2 linked regions of the Mus musculus genome follow. The protein of the gene in region 1 interacts with the protein of each later gene in a pairwise test. Links are inferred from orthologs where the notes say so. Each region holds a gene or a part of one and is shown on either strand. Other genes may lie near its edges.

Region 1 (7,173 bases):
GCTGCCTTCTGCTGCTGCTTCAGCCTTTCAGTGAGCTCCTCTCGGGCCTCCCCAGTTCCTCCAACTCCTCACTTTCAGGCCTCAGTGCTGCTGGCCAGCTGTTGAGCTCAGCATTACAAAGTCAAGCTTTCTGAGGGTTTTACACGGTCCGTGCTGTCCTCTAACTGACTATGTAGCCAAGGATGAGCTTGAGAAGTCCTGACCCTCCTGCTTCCACTCTGTACTGGGATTGCAGGCAGGCACCATCATACTTGATTTAATGAGGGGTTTGGATTGAACCCAGGGCTTTGTGCACACTAGGCAAGCACTGCACCAGCTGAACTACACTCAGCTCCAACAACCGAGAGCACACAACTCATTTTGCAATACTTTAAAAAACAAGACCTGACAGGGCTTGTTCACTCTAAGAGGAAAAATGCAAACAACTCGACATTCCGAATATGCAGAGTCAGTCCTGGGCTGTGGACATAGCTCAGCAGCAGAGAGGCTGCAAACAGGGGTAGGATCCCTTGTGCTGCCAAACCAGTTACTGTTCACAGAAGGAATCCTCTGGGCTGCGATCACTGATCAACGACAATGGCTTATAACTCACTTTTTTACAAGCTTTCTGCCAAAGTCCTGTACACATACAATGTCAAGGTATGCGCGGCCCAGTCATTACCTCATTAAATTCTATCCCACAAGTACCTTTATACAGGGATTAGCACACAATGGCAATCTATCACTAACCAAAAAAACCTGTTTCTCTTCCTCCAACCTAACAGCACTGTAAGGAAAAGGGCCGCTGACTCCAGAGTTCCCATGTTGGGAAAAAGGGGCGCAGACCATGAGACAGGCACTCTACTCACGCCAGATTCTCAGTGCCTTTACAAACTAGAAAAGTCTCTTGCTTTTAAAAACTGGAAAAAAGTCAAATCACATGCCTCTTATATATAGGAAGACAAATACTTTCCCAAAAATGAAACCTATTTAAAAGGAGAGGATAGTTCATTCACTGGAAATATTCATAGTCAAGCTTCACTGGGAAGAACTACTGTTAGGAGGAGGCAGGGGAAAGCTACAGAAAGAGGGGGTGAAAAGAAAATGGTCTCTGTGAGGTTGTTTTTGTTGCTAAGGTAAAAACCTCATGTAGCCCAAGCTGGTCCCAAACTCACCCTTCTGCTCTTCCTTCCTCCACCTTCTGAGTGGAGGATTACAGCGCGCCATGTACCAGGTTTCTGCAGTGCTGGAGACGAAACCTTGGCCTGTGCGCGTTAAGCAAGCACTCCTCTAACCAGATCCCCAGCCCCAAACCACATTTTCCAATTGCAAACCCTCCTGTTTCCCAGCACAAGGGAAAGGGAGTCTACTTTGGAGTCATGTATGGGACTTGTTAACCAACACATTTATTAGCTCTCCTTGCTGGTGACGCATTTTAGTCTCATCAACGCTAATAAGCAGCTGGCTGTAATATAACTACCAGTTTAGATTACTGTTAATAAACATATAATCTTAACGTCTAACTCAGAAAAAAGAAAATGGCACGGTTAAGAGTGCTGAGGCTGTCCTCAGAGGAAGCTTGAAAAACCATGTAGTATTAGGACGGTTCCACTGACTACTGAAGACATGGGGTTATGTGTGCCTATCTTTAGTAAAATTTCCTAAACTTTAAAAGATAATATTAAAGTACCTCGAGAAATTTTTAGACAAAATAAATCGTATATCCATATTCTCATTTTCTTTATCTTAATAATTAGAGCAATAAATAAAGAAAATCCATATGGAATACCTGAATTTCTAGAGTTCGACGTATTGATTTCTTTCCAAGGAAATTTTGGAAATGATTTATATGATGCGCCTATTTACTAATAAAAATATGGAAAAATGAAAAAGCATTAATTCCTTGGTCTTTCACCAAGTCACTGGAAGCTAAGTATAAAGTCAAAAACTAAAATCAATCGCTGAACAATCAACATTTAAGACCCACAGGAAACAGGAGACAGAAGGCACTATACAACATAATGTTCATCTTTCAGTGGAAGTAATCGATAAATACTATCTACAGATGATCTCTCAAGAAACATAAATGTGGGCTGGAGAGATGGCTCAGTGGTGAAGAGCACTGACTGCTCTTCAGAGGTCTTGAGTTCAATTCCCAGCAATCACATGGGTGGCTCACAACCATCTGTAATGGGATCCAATGCCCTCTTCTGGTGTGTCTGAAGACAGCTATAGTGTACTCATAAAAATAAAATAAATTTAAATAAAGAAACATAAATGCAACTTTTTTGAGATTGATGTGTCTGTGTGCACGCACACACATGCACACACACACACATGTGATATGTATGGGGGGTGGGGTGGGGGTGCCACAGTGGCCAGGAGAGGGTATTGGGGTCCTGGAACTAGAATTGCAGTATTGTGGGTCACCTAACACAGGTTCTTCAAACACAATCTGGATACACTGGAAGAGCATCGAGTGTTCTTCATGGCTGAGCCCTCTCTCCAGCTCCATAAGTACAACCTTTAAAACAGTAAATGCAAGCTGCAGAAGAAGTTACCCACAACAGAGCCTTTGGAGACTGGAGGGTGAAAAGCCACAGTGCTACTGACACATGTACACAATATGCACTCTCTTACCAAGCACACGCATTTACACTGAACTCTCGTCTGTAAACCTGTCAACTAGACAGCTTCTTTAGAATCCACGGCATTTCCTCCTCTACACCTAATACGCCACAGGCTGCTAACTTTATAAGTGGAACCTACTCAAAAGCAACGTTTCTCAATCCGTAGATCTAGATCCCTTTGGGAGGGGTCTAAGAGCATCCGAAAACACAGATATTCATGTTACATTCATAACAGTAGAAAAATTACAGTTACAGGTAGTAGCAAAATAAATTGGGGTCACCACAACATGAGGAAGAGTATTAAACAGTTGCAGCATTGAGAACCACTGCTCTAAAACAAATGTCTCTCAAATTATCAGAAAGTTGTGTGTTTGTCCTCGGAAGGATGGGCTGTGGCTCTTCCAATCTTGCAAAGTTTGTTCATGGCTGACCATGAACCAAAATGCCTAAAGCAATTATTATGACAACTACCAACTTTTTAAAAATTTCAAAAAAAAAAAAAATTAGTGCGTTTGCGGAGACTATTTTAACCTCATTTTCTCTGTTTTAAGTGAAAAGAACATTGTCTACTGCAAATTCTACGAATTAGTCCCAAATCAGTCAATGTCAGAGGCTGGAAGATAACACACAAATCTAAGGCCTTACATGTACACATTAAGACATGTGCAGCTTCAGTTCTCTTGAAAGGAAAACAAGAAAGAACCGGGAAGGTCTGCTATCTTCACTGATCCCCTCAGGAATGTGAAAGCACGCACAGCTCTTTTAACCTTGTAGCACTTGAAGCTTTTAAAAGCAATTTATTTCTGCCTAGACAAGCAGAGAGGTCTTCTGTTAATCCCTGCTCTCCAGTCTTTATGCTCACGCTGGCCTTTCACCTCAGCAGAGATCCTAAATTATCTCAAACCACACACTGAAGTCAAAGGAGAGGAAGAACTTTATGATAAGTCACGATAGAAAATGATTTGGGCTATGCTCAGAACTGGATTACTTTTGGCAGAGACATTAGTTTAAACGTTTGGTAATCAAGTGGGGTAAAGATCGTTTCTAGAATTTAAAGCCTTGGCTTCTCACCTTTCGATAGCTCACCCTAACTTCCAAAATGTGGGTCAGCACATTTGCACCTTAATTCTGACCACCCAGGATCCAGTGCACATCCTATTAAAAAGTATCGACTTTGGTACTAACTCTAACACCTATAGCGGCTCTCTGACCATAGTCCAGACTTATTTCATGAACTCTCCCACGGCGAAGGATAGATGTAAACCTGATTTATAAGACGGAGGCTTCAGGCCTGTCTGCAATGAAAGGAGCCACCTAACGAAGCAGTCCAGGCTTGCGTGCCCACAGTAGTGAGTGAACAGAGGCTTCCCTCGAAATCTTCAATCCACCCAGTCCCGAAACAGTTGCAAATTTCTCCGTCAGCTGATTTGTCCTCCCCTCCGGTTGCGCCCACTCTCCTCCGCCGACTCCTGGCGACCTACACTCATACGTCCAGGGTGCCACCAACCGCACCTCTCGCCGCCCCCACGATCGCTCGGGTCCCTGACCGCCAACACTCACCCGCGGTAGTAGGCTTTCACCCGGACCTGGTGGGAATGGTCCCCGCCGCCGCCGCACGCGACCGTGTGGGACATGGTGCTGCTGTCCCTCTGGGTCGGCATCTCCTCACTCCCCCGCCTCGCCGCAGGAGGCCGAGGGGGCCGGGGCAGCGCCGGGCGCCGCGAGGGTCTCGGCCTCCCGAGCCTGTCGGGAAGCCGTGGCCGCCCGCCTCGCCGACCAACACGCCTAGCCCGCGGCGCGGAGCGAGCAAGGGGTCGCTTCGCCGCCAAGCCCGAGCCCCAGCGCTCCTCCCTCCGCCCGGCACAACACGCCTCCCGCCGCGGCTCCTCCCACCACGCTCGCTCCCAAGGCCGCATTCCGCGGCAGGGCGGGCTCAGGAGTCGCGGAGCCCCGGCGCTCTCATCCTCACGGGGGGGAGAAGAGGCTAGCAGAGGGAACAGAACCCACCAGCCTACTAACAGACGCTCTGAAATGGGAATATACTTGGATATTAATATAAGTAATTGTAAACCACGCCTTTAAATGGAAGGATTTCTACAAAACAACCTACAGAGCACCCACGCTCAAGGTTGCTTCCCCTATTTCTTCTATTTAGTCTCGTCCCAGCTAGCCCGCCACGCTTCCGGAATGTATTTGCTGCGCGGGATTCTGGGATTTGGAGTCCCGGTGGGATTCTGGGACTTGTTCCTTAAGTGTAGAGTGCCGCGTTTTCGATCTTGTGCTTCCCGGGAGTTGTAGGCATGGAAGTCCTGAAAACCGCTTGAGTATCTGAGGGCACTGGAAAGATGGCTTCGTCAAGATGTAGAATCTCCTTCCAATTAAATTCTCCATGTCAATTTCATTGATCATTGAAATTAAACAGTTCCCTTTTGGGGGAACAAGATTTGATTACCTGCTCAGCAAATCCTTTTCGGGGAGAATTTAATAATGTAGGTAGCAAAAGCATTAGTGAATGCAACGAAAGAAGAAACTCAATTGGGAGATACCACAGGAGAGAGACTTCTTCAAGGCCCTCAACCCGTGAATATTGCCATTCTATAGAAGAAAGTGCCCAGTGAATACTTAACTAGTGTGTCAGTTCATTAGCATTTATTTTACTTACACTAGTCTGGTCGAGAATTAGAAAAAAAAATCTGTCCGTGTAACTTACTTTCGGACTTCCTCAGATCTTGCCTGTATCACTTACTCTACCCTTAAGGTAGCTTGAATCTAGCCACCAGGTCAGCTCAGATAGCAACATGTGCAAATTGTTGAAATAAGCAAAGATATGGCTTTCTTTTTGTTATTGTTTGTTTGTTTTTGGTTGGTAAGAGGTTTTCTCTCTGTAGCTGTCCTTGAACTCATTCTGTCAGGCTAGACTCAAACTCAGAGATTCGCCTGCTAGTGCCTCCTGGGTCCTATTAAGGGCATGTGTCACCACTACCCAGCAGCTTTCTTTATAATCATACATTAGATTTGGTTGCTTGCTTTATCAGAGCTACTATGTGTGACACTTAGCTTGGTACTAGCTTCATCCAACGTCCACAAATTTGGAGTATATGAAAATTTCCACTAAATAACTTTTTTTTTTTTAACAATTAGAGGCTGCATCATCACGTTAAATATGGATTGATTGCTGATGGTCATTTTTTTTAATTATTATTTTATGTATGAGCACCACACACCGCCTGGTTCCTGCAGAGGTCAGAAAGGGGTGCCAGATACACTGGAACTGGAGTTTCAGATAGTTGTGCTGGGAATCAAACCCAGGTTCCCAGGAGGAACAGCCAGTGCCTTTAACTACTGAACCATCTCTCCAGGCAGAGATCACCAATTTTTAATTGCATTATTGAAACTTTTTAATGCTTTGTGACAAGTTTACAATTATATAAAGCTCTAGAAAAATAACTAGCATATAAGAAGTAGATATTTATGAAGAAATAAAAGGTAATTCACAGAAAATTCTTTTTTTAAAAAAAATTCTTATTCCTTACCACTTTTGAAAAATCTGTCATTATTGGCTTCATAATATGGTTTTAAAGGTTACCCAAGAATTTTTTAACTACTTAATGTGTTAGCTATATGAATCTGTAACTATAATTTGTATAAATAGCACTACACACACACACACACACACACACACACACACATCACTTTTCTTAAAGATGATAGATTTAAAAATAATCATTACAGAGATTGGAGAGATGTCTCAATAGTTTAAAGATCTCACTGTTCTTCTAGAGGACCTGGGGGTCGAGTCCCAGCAACCACATAGCAACTGACAGTGGTTTATAACTTCAGTTTCAGGGGATCTGATGCCCTCTTCTGGCTTTTGTGAGCACCAGGCACAGATATGGTGCATACATGCAGGTAAAACAGCCATATGCATAAGATTAAATTAAACTAAAAAAAATTTACATTCCTTTTACTGGGGATGGGCACATGTGGCGATATAGGACTATTTAGAGGAGTTGGTTCTCTCTTCCCACCATATGGGTCTTGGGGATTAAACTTGGGTATCAGACCTTGACAGCAGCTGTCAGTTGAACTATTATCTTACTTAGGGTCCCATTGCTGTAAAGAAACACCATGACCAAGGCAAACATTATAAGAACAAACATTTAATTGGGATTGGCTTATAGTTTCAGAGCTTCAGTCCAGCATCATGCTGAGAAGCATGGCAGCATGCAGGCCAACATGGTTCTAAAGAAGGAGCTAAGTTCTGCATCTTGATCCAAAGGCAGCCAGAAGGATACTGTTTTCCTCAGGCAGCCAGGAGAAGACTGTCTTCCACACAGGGCAATGCACACTTCCTCCAACAAGGCCACACCCACACCAGCAAGGCCACACCCACTCCAGCAAGGCCACACCTCCTAATGGTGCTACTTCCCATGGGCCAATAGCATATTCAAACCACCACTACTATTTTGCCTGTCCAAAATAACAACTTTAAGAGCAGGTGGCATATGGTTGGAAGCCTAGCTACTACAGAGGATGAAGTAGAAGGATCATTTGAAACCATGAG
Region 2 (7,061 bases), on another chromosome or scaffold:
CATGACTTGAGGATGATTAGGCCTGTCTATCTCTATTTTCTTTCTCAGTCTTTGACTAAAACTAGTCTACCAGGAAGCATTCAAAGGTTCCTGTGGCCCCATAGATATGTGAAAACAAAAACAAAAACAGGCTGCCAGGCCAGGACCTAGAGGGAGTGGCTTGACGTTCTAAGGCTTAAAAAGCCTTTCACTGGGGTAGCCTGGCTGTGCACAGGGAAACAATTCAGGCATCAGCAGCTTCCTCCTGGGGCTGCCTGTCCCTTAAGCCACAGTCTATGTAGGCAACAGGTGATGGATATCCAAGTGCAACCCCTCTGCAGTGCGGCTGGGCTTGCCAGGTACGTGGGGATCTCCTTATGTTACAGAGCTGATTCCATAGGTTGTCACTGATGGAACAGGGGAGCACACAGGCCTTAGCCCCTCACTGTGAGTCACAGGATTCACAGAACTGCCTCACTCCCCTCTGGCTGACCCACTGCCAACTAAGGACCACGTGAAGCTTGGCACCTCCTCACCTTCCCTTTCCCAGAGTCTTGAACCTGCTATCTTCCCATCTCCACTCTGAGACAGGATTTCTCTGTGTAGCCCTGGCTGTCCTGAAACTTGTTCTGTAGACCATGCTGGACTCGAAGTCACAGAGGTCTGCCTGCCTCTGCCTCCTGGGTACTGGGATGTAAGGTGTACAACACCACTGCCAAGTCAGAACCTGCTCTTGGATCTTCTTCCCTACCCACTCCCCAGAACGATATTCATCATTCCATATTTGAAATGTCTGGCTTACAGCTTGTGTTAGTCAAGGCTTGTCTAAAGGACCAGAAGTGATAGAATTAACAAATAAGAACGAACACACACACACACACACACATACACACACACACACACACACACACACACACACACACACACACACACACGCTTGCACAGCTGTCTCACACTAGAGAAGCCAAGAATCCAGTAGCTGCTCAGTCCACAAGGTTGGATGTCTCAGCAGCCCCAATCTGGCACCGAAGGCCTGGAGGATCCCTAGAGAGCTGCTGGTCTTCGGTCTACATTAGAAACCCGAAGAACTTGGCTCTAGTGTCAGCCAAGTATGCTGCAGCAACAGCAGAGATGGGCATGCCAGTAGAGTGGGGCAAGCAGGCAGAAAGCAACGGTTTCTTTTTCCATTACCATCTCATCTATGTTTCCTCCAGAAGCTGTTGTCCACACGTGGGCGGGTCTTTCTGCCTCAGATATCTGACCAAGAGACAGTATTTCTCAAAAAGCCTCAGAAATAAGTGGATGTAGGATTAAGTTCGGCATTTACAACACCCCTCACAGGAGCGCCAAGAGGCTTGTGTTTTGGTTATTCCGATAGAGTCAAGCTGACAACCAGGATTAACCATGTGGGCGCTCAACCCTTACCGCGCTCCTGGGCCTCCCCCACCCACAGAACTGTCCCTTTGGAGTGAACAGTAAAACAGCAGACCTGTGACTTTTCTAAGGCCAAAGGACTGTACTAAGTTAGGAATCGACCCTCCAAATAAGACATCATGAGGTCTGGGATCCCATGCCCTGTACTGAGTAAAACGGGCATGGAAGTACGTACACACACATGCCGTCCCAGCACTATGGAGGTGGGGACAGGAAGATGGGAAGCTGAAGGGCAGCTTCAGTTACCTAGAAAGTTTAAGGCTGGCCTAGGTTATGTAAAGGCCTGTGAGAGAGAAAAGGAGGGAAAGAGAAGGGTAAGGGAGGGGCTCTTGGGGGAAGGGCTCTTTGGGGGAGGGGCTTTGGGAGAGGGGCTCTTTTGGAAGGGCTTTGGGGGAGGAGCTCTTGGAGGAGGGGCTCTGGGGGAGGGGCACTTGGGGGAGGGGCTTTGGGAGAGGGGCTCTTTGGGGAGGGCTTTGGGGGAGGAGTTCTTGGAGGAGGGGCTCTGGGGGAGGGGCTGGGAAAGAAGAGAGAACTGAGGAGCTTGCTCCTGCTGCTTTTTGACCAGGATTTCCCCGTGTCTTCCCGGCTTACATCACCTATGCCTGTCCGGGGTCCTCTGAACAATATGGACTTTCTTCTAAAGGAAGGATTATGACTCTAAACCACAGTGACCACAGGCCCTGGCATTAAACCCTGATCATAACAGAATAAATACACAGCAAAACTGAATAAAAATTAAAATTTAGGGAATGCAATTTGGCAGTCTGTGTTAAAACTTTAGAGGAGGTGTGTTTTATAGCCTAATAATTCCATTTTAATAGTCAATATCTTTTAAAAGCCTCAGAAATAAGTGAAACCTGGGATTCAGCACTTATAATATTAGTATGTATGAAATGCAAACATAGCCAATAAAATAAAACCATTAGAAGTCATACCTTTATTCACATAAGCAATTTAAAGAACATTTTCTAAAATCAAACAACTGATGAAAACATCCATTATAACCCGGGTAGTGACAAAACAGAATGATCACAATTCTGTAATGTATATTACAATGTACACAAAAAGTAAACATGCCGATTACAAAAATGCATGAGACATTTTAAGATAGTTGTTAAAGCCTGTAAGTTTCGTCCTAACTTCTTTACAAACTCCTAAGGAGCCAGGTTCCATCTTGGGTTTTCTCCCCCCTCTTTTTAAGTGCTCTATCTAGTCTTCTATGATATAAGAATCATTTCTTTCTCCAAACCTATCCTATTTTCTATCAACTGCCTTAGAAAAACCCTCGCTGCTCCTCAAACCCTCCTGCAAGTGTTCCTCTCCCTTTAAAAAAAAAACAGTTTTAGTTCTTGTTGTTAATACTACATATTAGTTTTAACTTTAACTATTTCTTTACAATTTGGCATCGGTTTACTATCCTGTCGCTTTCCGTCCTGCCTGAGTTCACTACTTCATGGGCGAGACCACCTACAACCTGGCAACTGAGGCAGGCAAGTGGAGCAGACCTGGAGGCCTTGTCCTCACCATTGCTTCTTAAGAATCTATCGAGAACCCCTTTCCCAGGCGGACCGCTGTGGAGAAGGCAAACCGGAGAGCCCAGAAAATGGCCCAGAGCTTCTGCCTTTGGAAAGGCACCAGGTAGGGGCGTGGCGTGGGCGGGTCCTGATGGGGGCTGGAGGCGGGGCTCTGGGGGCGGGGCTCTGGGGGCGGGACTCGGGGGAGGCGTCCCGTAGCTCCTCCCGCGCGCGGCCCCTGGAGTCCCCGCGGCGCGCCGCCAGCCCCGCTCCGGCCCGCCTCACGCCGTGCAGCCGGGCGCCCTAGCGAGCGCGGGCCCGGCGCCGGGCCCGGGCAGACGTTGGGGGGCGTCTCCGCGGAGACTCTCTCTGAGGCCCCTGAGCGGCGAGGGCGAAGGCGAGGCTGAGTGGGGCCGAAATCATGAACCGGAGTTTTCATAAGTCTCAGACCCTACGCTTCTACGACTGCAGCGCTGTGGAAGTCAAGAGCAAGGTAAGTGCCCGAGGCCCACCGGGGCGGTCTGCACTCGGTCCCTTGGCAAATGAATGGTGCACCCCGCGGAGGGAAACTGGAGCGGTGTGGGAGGCGACCGGCGTCGACAACTTTGGAGCTTAGGCGCTGCGTGCCTCTGCGCGGGGTCCGTGGGATGTGCTCCGGGACCCCGGCGATCCTCCCTGCTCCCTATGCGAGCACAAAGCCCGGCGGCGGAGGGCCATGGGACAGTCAGTGTAGGCTCTGAACCAGCTCCACGAGAGCTGCTCTTTTGTTCCACGAACTAGAGAAGACCGGGGCGCGCCACACGTTGGAGGGGAGGGCTGTGTTTCCGGGGCGATCTTGGAGCCGGAGACTGCTGGGATTCAGGTCGTGGAGGGGTCTTTGGGAGGCCAGAATCAGGAGGGGGGCCTGGCTGCGCCGCAATTTGGCCTTAAGGAGCAGACTGGCGGTCGGCTCCCAGATCAGGGCCCTGGCTCAGCCTCCTGTTTGGCGCTGGGTACCAGACCCGGAGCCCCAGGCGCCCTTTACCCCAAGACCCAGACCCCTTGATCATACCCCTGGCCCAAGTCCAGTCTTCCCGACCCAGCCCTGAGCACCCTTGCTACCCAGACATCTTTCCTAGACGCTCCCCCAGCTTAGATCCCCCGGGCTCTTAGGGTTCAGGGACCGATAAACTCCCATTTGGGCGAGCCGCCCCTAGACAAGACCACAATCCGCTACGGGGGGGCGCGACCAGGGCGCAGACTCAGACCCCCTGGGCGCGCCCGGGCCCCTCCCGCTGCTTGTGCCTAGGCAGAGCGTGCCCGAACTTGCGAGTAGCCGTGCCTGGATAATTGGCTGATAGGATCTGGCGCTTCTCCCCTCTGCGGAGGCAGCTCCTTCGCTGCAAAAGCTTTGGTCTGGGAGGGTCTGCAACGCGGACCCTGCGGGATGGGGAGCTGCTGTTGCTTAGGGTCGGGTGGGAGAAGTCCCTGGAGCCTTTTACTGACTAGGAGATAAGTAGCCTTGTTTCTGTGGTGTTCTGGGTGAAGAAGGGAGAGGTGCTGGAATGGTCCAGATCACCAAGGGTGAGTTCTCCCCAGTGCTTCTTGTGGGCCTAAGGCCTGAGATCCATTCATTCGCCTGGTATCTGGTAAGATAATGCTCTCATTAGACTACTGACCAGCCACCAGAGAGTTCTTTAGTATAAGATTTTCAGGGTCTCTGTAGAGTCCTGAAGATGGGGCAAGTCCCCTCAGTAACAGCAGGGTATCTTTGCAGACCCATTGTGGTAAACTGCAGGGTCTCCACATTTGGGGCAGCTTACTTATAATGAGAGCCTACCCTGTTTCCAGATGGTAATTCTATGACTCCCATCCCCTCTGTTGTCCAGGAGTGCTCCTAAACCCCAAGTTCACGCAGCTGTAAAGTTAGGGCCATCCATGGCCATGGGAGGGTGGGAGGGTTGCCTGCTTCCTCAGCACTGGACTAGGGCAGCCCCTTCATGTCTCTAAACTGTTTTGAAATCGTGGTACATTCACAAGCAGACGTGAGAAAGAATACAGAGACCCGAGGTCACTTTGCTTGGCCTTCTGCAGTGTTAACCTCTGGTGTGAATAGAAGGGAGCTTCATACGGTGCTATGTGCTCACTTGTGTGTGTATACGGGTGTGTAACACTCTTGTGAGCGCCAACACAGCGGACACCATCAACACCCATCACCAGGATTCTTCCTGACCACTCACTGAGTGTGGACTCCGATGAGAAGTGCTAACCACTCAGTTCTGGTGCTCAGTAGCTGTGTGTGACGATGTACATTAACAAATTCAAAATGAGGCCATGGGACAGATCTGGAGGAAGTGCCCTCACTGGGCCTTATCCTGCATTTCTGGGCTGTGGTCCATGCAGGCTTAGGGGAGAATAGGCCACCTACCTTTGTTTCCTGGCATGTTGGCCAAACTGTCTCCTCCAACTCTGCTTAGTGGAGAAATGCCACTTTGCATCTCTGAGGCTTCAAGCTCAGATGCTGTTTGGAGTGGAGACTTAGGAGAGCCCACGCTGACATAGACAGCATTGGGGTGGCTGTCACATGCTCTCCACCCCACAGCATGCCACTCTCATTGCCTGTCCAGAATGTCCCCAGTGGCTCTTCCTTCCACACCCCTCCCGCTCTCCTCCCACTCGGTAGCTGATGTGTATTATTGTGGAGTCCATCTCTCCAGGCAAGGGCTTTTGTCTGTGCTGGAGGCAGAACTTCCTATCAGCAAGGACTTCACACACCTCGAATGTAGAACTAAATATAGTAACTGTGGTTTGCTTAGGAAAATGGCAGCCACAGCTCAGTGCACCCAAGTTTTGTTGGGGATTTGAGGCAACATCTTTTCGTTTCCCTATCTGAGTCGTTTCATCTGTGGGCATCTGCATCATATCCAGAGAAGGTGCTCACCTCCTGAGGTGAGGGGAAGACATGTTGGGAAGTGCAGGGCACCCACCATCCTCAGCATCCAGTGCCACGGCGCAGGGTCTCAGCACTCACGGTGAGTGCTGAATATGGCCACGCGTCTTCTCAGAATTGAGATCATTAATTATCTGCCATGCCAGCCACCTCCTGGGCACACCAGCTGTGTATGCAGAGAACTCAGGTTCTTGGCCTGGTGGCTGCCACCCGTTTCATGCCCCCTGATGATTCCCTAAAATCGTTAACTCTGGCTCATCCTCTCTCCCTCTCCAGAGCCATGTGCACTTTCGATTTCCTGTTTCTGCCTGCCCTTCTCACTCCACCGTGACTTTTGCCTCTCCAACCTGTAGCTGGAAGGGAGACACTGGAGATTTGTAGGAAAGCATTTCAGGCTGAAGGACGAAGGGCAACTGCCTAGGCTGCTTTGAAAGCCAGCAAGAGGGCAAGAAGGCCACTGCCGTCAGGGATGGGGGTGTCTCAGAGAATACAGTTCTCAGGTCCTCCTACCGCAACAGTGTCCCAACTCGAGAGGCAAGTCTGTCATGAGGCCCACTCAGTATTGTTTGAGGCTGAAGGTTTTCTTCATGTGTGTGCCTCCCTAAAGAAACTTGAGGCTGGAAGAGGGTAATTCTGTCTGCAGACAGACTTCTCTCAAATGCTGCCTCATGCCTTCTGACGCCGTGTGCTAGTGTGCATACATCACGTTATTGTTTCTAGAACGAGGATCACAAAGACAATATGTAGTCTACTTTCAATCTGTCAATATGTGACAAATGTTTCTTCATGTCATTAACATTTTTAGGGGACTTTAAAAAAATGACTACGCAGTATTACATCTTCTGTCCAATCATAATATAACCAATATCTTGTTTGAATTTCTGCCTGGTCCCCCCCCCCATACTAAACTGTGCTGTGAACCATATTGAAGTATTTATATGAAGCCAATACAGAACATACAACATAAGGCAAATGAAAGTTACTGGTTGTATTAAATCAACAGGACTCTATGTACTTAAAAGTACTTGGGATAAAAGACATGCACATTTTTAAGGCTTTGAATACGTAATTAGTAAGTGTTTAGGCAGGTAAGATGGCTCTGTGGCAAAGGCAATGGCCGAGCAAGCCTGACCTCCTGAGTTCAAACCCTGGAATCCACATAAAGGTAGACAGAGAGAACTGACTCCACAAGATTGTTCTCTGAT

The links.
Region 2: the proteins of Prkci (region 1) and Pard6g interact in binary tests that used the Homo sapiens proteins (3 or more experiments, as listed by UniProt). The link is inferred for Mus musculus from reciprocal best matches to the Homo sapiens genes PRKCI and PARD6G.

What each region holds. Positions count from the first base shown.
Region 1 is NC_000069.6:30,993,082-31,000,254, reverse strand, and holds the start of Prkci (protein kinase C iota type), read right to left. Parts: upstream 4,485-7,173; 5' UTR 4,271-4,484; coding exon 4,170-4,270; intron 1-4,169.
Region 2 is NC_000084.6:80,043,723-80,050,783, forward strand, and holds the start of Pard6g (partitioning defective 6 homolog gamma), read left to right. Parts: upstream 1-3,172; 5' UTR 3,173-3,348; coding exon 3,349-3,420; intron 3,421-7,061. UniProt on the Homo sapiens protein: Adapter protein involved in asymmetrical cell division and cell polarization processes. May play a role in the formation of epithelial tight junctions. The PARD6-PARD3 complex links GTP-bound Rho small GTPases to atypical protein kinase C proteins.